2 linked regions of the Styela clava genome follow. The protein of the gene in region 2 purifies or fractionates together with the protein of the main gene of each other region. This does not show direct contact. Links are inferred from orthologs where the notes say so. Each region holds a gene or a part of one and is shown on either strand. Other genes may lie near its edges.

Region 1 (3,759 bases), on a different chromosome or scaffold from region 2:
CGATGGTTTATAGATTGTGTAAATTCTATCTAGTAACGCTTCATTGGTTTGTAGATTGTGTGAATTCTGTCTAATAACGCTTCAATGATTTATGAATTCTGTGAATTCTGCCAAGTTGCGCTTGAATGATTCAGGTCAAATAATGGTAAATGGAAGAGGTGCTATCAGTGGCGCAACCAGCGGGGGGGTTACGGGGGTCGTGTCCACCCCGTTTGAAATTCGTTTTTTTTTATTATCGTTCTACGTTCAAACAACGTCGTTCCACGGTCATAACAATCCGGTGAAAACTACTTTTTTCCAGTGCTTTATCACCTCGACGTAATTTAACACCGCCCGACTTCAATCATACCTTTTTGCTGTTAGTTACGTAACAATCGCTATCCCCGCGTATATGTTTGTATTCGAAAATGAGATATGTTACCTCAAAAAGGTAGAAATCGCGCGCTGTCGATGCGAATTGAAAGCGACAATAGCATAATGCTATCTCTTTCTCTCTTGTGACGAATACTCTCGTGCTTCATCATCTTGACGCAATGTATCGCCGCCCGTCTTCATGTTATAATAATGCAGTAGAAACTCTCAAAATCTGGATACGAAAATTATTTTCGGAAAAATATTGATTTTTATCGCAGCCATGTGTGGTACGGCAATAACTAACAGTCGTCGTGAAAGGTTTTCAATAAACTCCGACTTGAAGTGCTTATAAGACGTCGAGGACGTTTTTGGTTGAAAATTTTTTACATTTGTTATCGTATATTTCAATTTAGTCAAGATATGTTGTGCGCCTCGGCAATAAACTTAAAAGCAAATCCTGCCCTAATTAATTGTTTTCATCCTCAGTTTCGATAGTTATCGAACTTACCGGGAAATTTTTTAATTTCTTGCACTCTATAAAATAGCTTCTAAATATTATTTGGTTTCTATCGGAGATTTTATCGTTATCCCGGCGTCGTTAATAACAATATCGTTCATTTTAAGTTGGAGGTATTGGTTTATAATCGAAAAATTATAACACATAACATGAAAAATTTAAATCAACGCCGACTCAAAAAGTAAAACACGTTTCTCCATCTTTATTCTCCATTATTGGCGGACGGAAATTTGGGAATCGGGTTTAACTAATTTGATTATGATGACGATGGTAAACAAAAGTACACAAACATACCATACCGTTCTTAGTTTTTAGTCGTTATTTCTCTGTCCTTTCTTCTTTCTATGTGCATATTAAGACCATAAAACGTGTTTTATTTTTGAACTCTGCGCTGATTTGAATATTTCATGTCGGCTGTTATGTATTTTTGTTTGTAAATGAATACCGCTAACTTAAACTGAACGATGTTGTCATCAACGCCGGATGCCGTCGAAATCTGCGATAGATATTAAATACTATTTAAGAGCTATTTTATATGCGCTACATTACAAGTAATGAAAAAATTTCCTGTTATGTTCGGTCACTATCGAAACTGAGAATGAAAACAACTAATTAAGACACAATTTGCCGAGGACGCCTGAACCATCTCGACTAAGTTAAAATACACGATAAGAAAATATTTTCAATCAAAAACGTCCTTGAAGTCTTATAAGTTCTTCAAGTCGGCGTTTATCGAAATTCTTTCATGTCAGCTGTAATATATTGCCGAACCACACATGGACGACGCTAGGATATGTGCGCCATATTCGGGATTATTATAAACACGAAAAAACAGTATTTGAAGTTTGCGATATTTGAATTTAAATTCGATTTGGACATCCCTGCATTAAATTAGTCATTTTTTAGTTGTGTTTCCAAAAATTAGTTGTAAATCAATTATTTTAATTGTCATCATGTCTTCCGGTGAGCTTCAGTTTAGTTTAGAACTTTTCTGGGGTTAGGGTCGGGAAAAGGTCCATTCGCAAGAAGTGCATTTTGTTTTTAGTCTTGACGAATTCACCCAACGAGCAAGGCCGGCACTAGGGAAACACTGGAATTTATTCAAGCCGTGTTTCACTATCCACGAGGCGCAAAGCGAGGGAAATGTTGAAAATAATTAACAGCTTTTCGTTAGCAATTCGCTGGAATGTAATGAACGGTGTTTGCTACCCACGAGGTGCAAGACATAGCGAAGCGTCGTTAATGAACGAGTGCAAGGTAAGCTGAAGGCTGGGATTTAATCGATGGCGTTTCCATTTTAACCACGAGCAATTTATCGCGTTTCAGCGGGGCGACACCTAGAGGCGTTGCGACTTACGTCGTGGTTGCACTGTGTAAATTCCTGTCGGACCCCCCCCCCGTTGAAAACGGTCTGGTTGCGCCACTGGGTGCTATTTTAAAATTTATATATAGGCTTGCCTATTCTGATGTTGATTGAAAATTATGATTTAAGTTTAATTTTATTTATTAAAAAGAAAAATTCCATATTCAAGTTCAAATAATAAAAGTAACTCTTTACATATTGTCAGATTTCAATCAGGCCTCATCACATTTTTAGAATAAAGCGCAATCATAGCGATTTTTCTTGTGAATCATAACTTATATTTTGGCAGAATATACTCATTTGAATTATGTGGAACTTATGCTGCAAGTCATTCTTCATTTTTTCAAATATGATTAAATGCAATCATCTCGTTTTCAACTAAAATTATCATAACATATATTTTGGCAGAATATGCTCATTTGAAATATGTGGAACTAATGCTGCAAGTCATGCTTCATTGTTTTTATGCTCATAACCAAATCCCTCTGTTATGTTGCCACTTTATTCTTCGGGGTGGCTGTAATGGGGTCGGAATTGAACTAGGAACCCAAACTCATAATTGTTTAAAAGCAGGGCTGTGCAGCCCGCGGGCCAAATGCGACCCACAAGGAAAAATTATGAGGCCCACAGAGAAGTGCCAATTTTAAATAGTGTTTGGCCCACGAAACGAGTTTTCAATTTAGTCCTATCTAGTATGTGCAGGTAATTCCTATTCCTTTGCATTGCAAAACTTATACCTGAGCTTATGCAGAGCTAACAACACGTGTCATAAAATCAGTAACCAAAGTTTTGTGCTTGCAACTACTAGAAAGCCTATGTTGAATAAACGTGCGGCCCGCGATTTCACTCAGATATTCCTACCTTGCCCTCTTGTATTAAAGGTTGCACATCCCTGGTTTAAAATCATTAGAAATATTTTCAGTTATTACTAATCGATCTTAAGATCGGTAAGTATGTTGATAGGTTTTTGTCTGTTTGTATGTCTGTGTGTTAGATGCACGCGATATCTCACGAAAGCGAGTTTGAATCTGCTCCAAATTTTGAATGTGCATTCATCATAGCTCGGATCAGGATTATGTCTTATAATTAGCGAGTTATTGATTAATTAGTGATGGGACACACGGTGTCACTATGGAGTAAGACCACTGTTTTGAGGGATCCCCTAACCTTCGATCGATAAGTCTTCTTCTTTTAACCGATATTCTAGTTTTTTAAATTCATTACCATGTGCAGATGAAGCTTCAAATACTATGCAGTTCATGCATTCTATACTTTCTAATTTGGGTGCTATCTCGTTAGGGCCCAGCATCTAATTTCCGACCTTTTTAGTTTATCTTAAATTTATGGCAGTTCAAACAGGTACCCTAAGCCGAGAGGTCTACGGGACAGTTCTTTCTGGTTCACAAGCAATGTCTTCCGTTATTGAAAATTTGTGATTAATTTTAATGATTAATTTAAAAAGAATGGATCATGTCTTTTCAAACTATTTGCTATGCATGAAAACCCATATTTACCGGCTTCTCTG
Region 2 (3,759 bases):
CAGAATTTGCATCTGTTTGGCCCCACTGTTGTCCGGGTTGTTCTGGGGTGTTACCCCATCCACTTGTGTTACCGGCGCTTGGTTTGTTGCCCCAATTGCTATTTTGGTCCCAGTTAGATCCTGAAAAAATATTGATAAATGCTGATGAATATTTTCGTGAAATGAGGTGAACATGAAGCTACGTAATTGAAGGCTGTGCAAGTTGTCATAACTGTGAAATGGAACTCGTGAAATTTAGAAACAAAGAACCAAAATTCCTTCAAATTCGTACACTAGTATGAAGTTGTTTAAATTTTTTTCAAATTGGCATATTTCTCTTTGCTCATGACAAGCTCCAAATGCCTTTGGAAATGAACATTCCAAATGTTACCAGAGCGACTCGAAAAAAAGGGTCCAGTAATCCAGGATGCTTTGCACAATAGTTACGCTCTCTTTAGAATGTTAAATGAATTGGATTCTAAATGTGAACATTTCTTAGCTTTAATACATTCATGTAGGTAATAATTGTTAGTCCACTCATTCTTCATGATTCACATTTATATGAAATAAGATAGACTTCTACAATAAGAAGAAACACTGTGCTTTAATACAACCAAATATCTAGCTCGAACCTGAATTAACTGGTGGTGGTTTTCCCCAGTTAGAAGTCCCATTGTCTACATTAGGTTGCCTGACTGGTGGGTTCCCATCGCCCCATCCAGTGGGTGAAGGTGGTTTGTTTGACAAATTTTGTGATCCTGGCTGTGCACCCCAGCCAGTAGGTTCTGCTTTTGTTTTGCTAGCGTCACCCATACCCCCCATGTTCATTCCCATACCCTGTTTTTTATCCCACATATTCACGCTTTTGTATGCGGTTGGATCTCCCCATGCCGAGGTTCCATCATCAACTTGACTGGATTGACGTTGCATGTTTTGTGTTTGGTTCCAACTACTCTCTGGTCCAGGTCTAGTGTTCCCCCAATTAGATTGGGGGTTTCTTTGTGCGGCATTACCCCAACTGCCACCATCTGTAGGAGTAGTATTCCCCCAATTACCCGAAGGATTGTTACCCTGTTGCACACCAGAAGCGCCCCAACCTTGATTTGAATTTGGCATAGCTGTTGGAGGCGTGTTCCAGCGATTGACATTAGCCGTTGGCATTGGGGGAGGTAAACGAGCCTCACCCCATCCCGGTTGTGCTTGAGTTGGTTGCGTTGCACCACCCCATGATGGTCGGGGTTGTTGTGGTATTGGATTGGAATTAGGTCCCCAACCACGTACGCTAGGGGTACCAGTAGCAACGTTATTATTACCTTGCCATCCCCCACTGGCAGGCTGACCCGCAGCAGTCTTACCCCAAGCTTCTGTGCCTGTCTTATTTGGAGGCTGCCTGACAAAGTTCGGTGATTCTGATATATCCCAGGATGTGTTTTGTAGGATAGGCTTCTTCCCCCAACCTTCATGGGAATTGACAAGCTTTTGTACAGGGTCATTTGGATCCACGTCACCATTAGGAGGAGCATCTTGAGAATCTGATGGGCTTTGAGCCTGTTGTAACTGTGTTTGTGCCTGATCTGTTTCTGTATCCTTCAGTACATTTTGTTGTGAAACAGGAGGTTGATGACTCGCTTGTCCTTGTGCGGGTGGTGCAGCAGCGGCAGCTGCCCAAGATTCGGGCTGTTGCGGTATTGAATTATGGTGTTGTGATGGCCCAGTCTGAAGTTGTTGTTCGGGCTGTGATGAAATTTGTGCCGCAGCAGATGGAGTTGTTTGAGGTGGGATATTCCAAGCTGATTGAGCAGGACTTTGATTAGATGGAGCTCCCCAACCACCTGATGAGCCTCCAGTGTTACTTGGCTTTCCCCAAACAGCAGTTCCGTTGTCTACCTGGGGCTGTCTGGACCAATTATTTCCCCCACTATCTGGGACCCCCCACCCAGTAGTACTTTGTTGAGGAGTACCCCAACCATTGCTTGTCGTTGTGGTGTTAGTATCGCCTGAAATACCCCCACCACCCCAACCTCCAGGATCGGGTTGTTGTAAATTACCCCCAAAGCTCTGACTCGGTTGTTGATGCATTTCTTGTCCTTGTACTACTTCTTGCTCTGAACCCAACTGTGGCCAACTTTCCGGATGCAAAACAGGAGAGCTGACTGTGCCTGATGGAGCAGCCCCCCAACCTGCGTTTGTAAGAGAAGATTCGTTACTATTATATTTCGTCTGCCAGTCAGTGCCAGAAGTCATTCTATCACAAAATCATAGAACGCATGATCAGCATACCAACTTTCAGAAAACATGTCTAAAAAATTATTCTAAATCTGTTGAAAAAAGTTGAAATTAATCACCATATTATTTGAAAACTGAACATTAGCAACTTTACACATTTATCAAGAAAAATGCTTTGAACTGACGTAACTATTAATTTTTTTTTCTCATTTGATTTTACATATCAAGTTTGAGGCAAAAAAACATACAAGAGAAATTTAACATAGCCTATATCAAAGGCTCAAAAAGTTATCTATCACAGGCCATGATGCATTGAAAAAAATTGACTTCATTAATCTACGACAAAGAAGAGTCTTACAATTCTTCACATTAAATCGATGCTACATGTGAGCTAGTTTTTATTCATATAAACGATATTAATACAACTGGAAACAGATATCTGCAAGTTGTAGTTCTTTCTCAACACTAATTTTAACGAATTTTATTGTTTATTAAATTTTAAATGAGGGCACATGAACTATAATTTTTAAAAATATGGATTGATATTTTGCGACACTCTGGCTTATATAATTTGTTATATCATGGGTAAGGAGGTAATAACCTTTATTGATTACGGAACTAATCGGATAATTGGCCAAATAATAATCTCCATATATAGCTTGGACGAACAGTAGAATACCTACTAATTAAAAACATTAATCAACAATTGGATCTAACAAACAAAATAATTGAAAAACACCCAATGATATGCTTACAATGCTTAGAAAACACAAGCATATTTCTATATATAAGAAATGAAAACTTCCAGTATGCCATAAAAAGATCAAAAATAAAACTTTAGCCTCCAATGAAAAATAGTTTCGATATCCTAGAAAAAAAATTCCTTTTCAATGAAATTATTATTATGATTTCCTATATGAATTCATATTTACTGGACCCTATTTAATTTTGGTTGCAGTGGACAATCGTCAACAATACAGTACAACTGTTTTTCAGTGGTTTTTCTAATAGATGAAATCACATTTGTAGGATAAAATTTTCAAACTTATCCTGAAGGAGGTAAGACGGCTTAATCATATGCCGATCCACGACTCACTTTCGGTTGCCAGTTCATATCGAATATGGAAATAGCTAACCAGTTATTTCTTTCAGATGTATGGACTTGATGGTGGAGGATGCCGTAACTTACCAGCCCTCACATGAATTATGATGAGTTTACTCTTGGCATGATGACTCAACTGCTGATAATATGTTAGCAATTTAAATTTGTTTATGGTATTCCTATAATTTGCAGACCAACTGAACAGGAAGTTCAATATTCTGAAAGCTAATAAACTTGTGAATGGGAGAAACAGCAGTCCCGCGCCTGACAATGGCAATAATTTGTGATCCATTGAGATATACCGGTAAGAGTTTTTTATTACAACAATTGATAAAAGAGTTTAATATAAAAATTGATTATATATTGAATTTACGTATGCACGGATATTGCCTTATTCATATGGCATTTCATTCGATTTTTTTTATACCATACAGTTGTTGTGTACAGGCACT

Evidence for each region. The genes of interacting proteins can lie anywhere in the genome.
Region 1: the proteins of uncharacterized protein LOC120338465 (region 2) and PAN2-PAN3 deadenylation complex catalytic subunit PAN2-like purify together in Homo sapiens (affinity purification with western blotting; 3 studies listed by BioGRID and IntAct, with this or other methods). This does not show direct contact. The link is inferred for Styela clava from reciprocal best matches to the Homo sapiens genes TNRC6C and PAN2.

The regions. Positions count from the first base shown.
Region 1 is NC_135254.1:1,610,493-1,614,251, reverse strand, and holds the start of PAN2-PAN3 deadenylation complex catalytic subunit PAN2-like, read left to right. Parts: upstream 1-1,526; 5' UTR 1,527-3,197; exon of another isoform or gene 3,198-3,759. UniProt on the Homo sapiens protein: Catalytic subunit of the poly(A)-nuclease (PAN) deadenylation complex, one of two cytoplasmic mRNA deadenylases involved in general and miRNA-mediated mRNA turnover.
Region 2 is NC_135259.1:12,238,273-12,242,031, reverse strand, and holds the start of uncharacterized protein LOC120338465, read right to left. Parts: upstream 2,317-3,759; 5' UTR 2,224-2,316; coding exon 612-2,223; intron 121-611; coding exon 1-120. UniProt on the Homo sapiens protein: Plays a role in RNA-mediated gene silencing by micro-RNAs (miRNAs). Required for miRNA-dependent translational repression of complementary mRNAs by argonaute family proteins.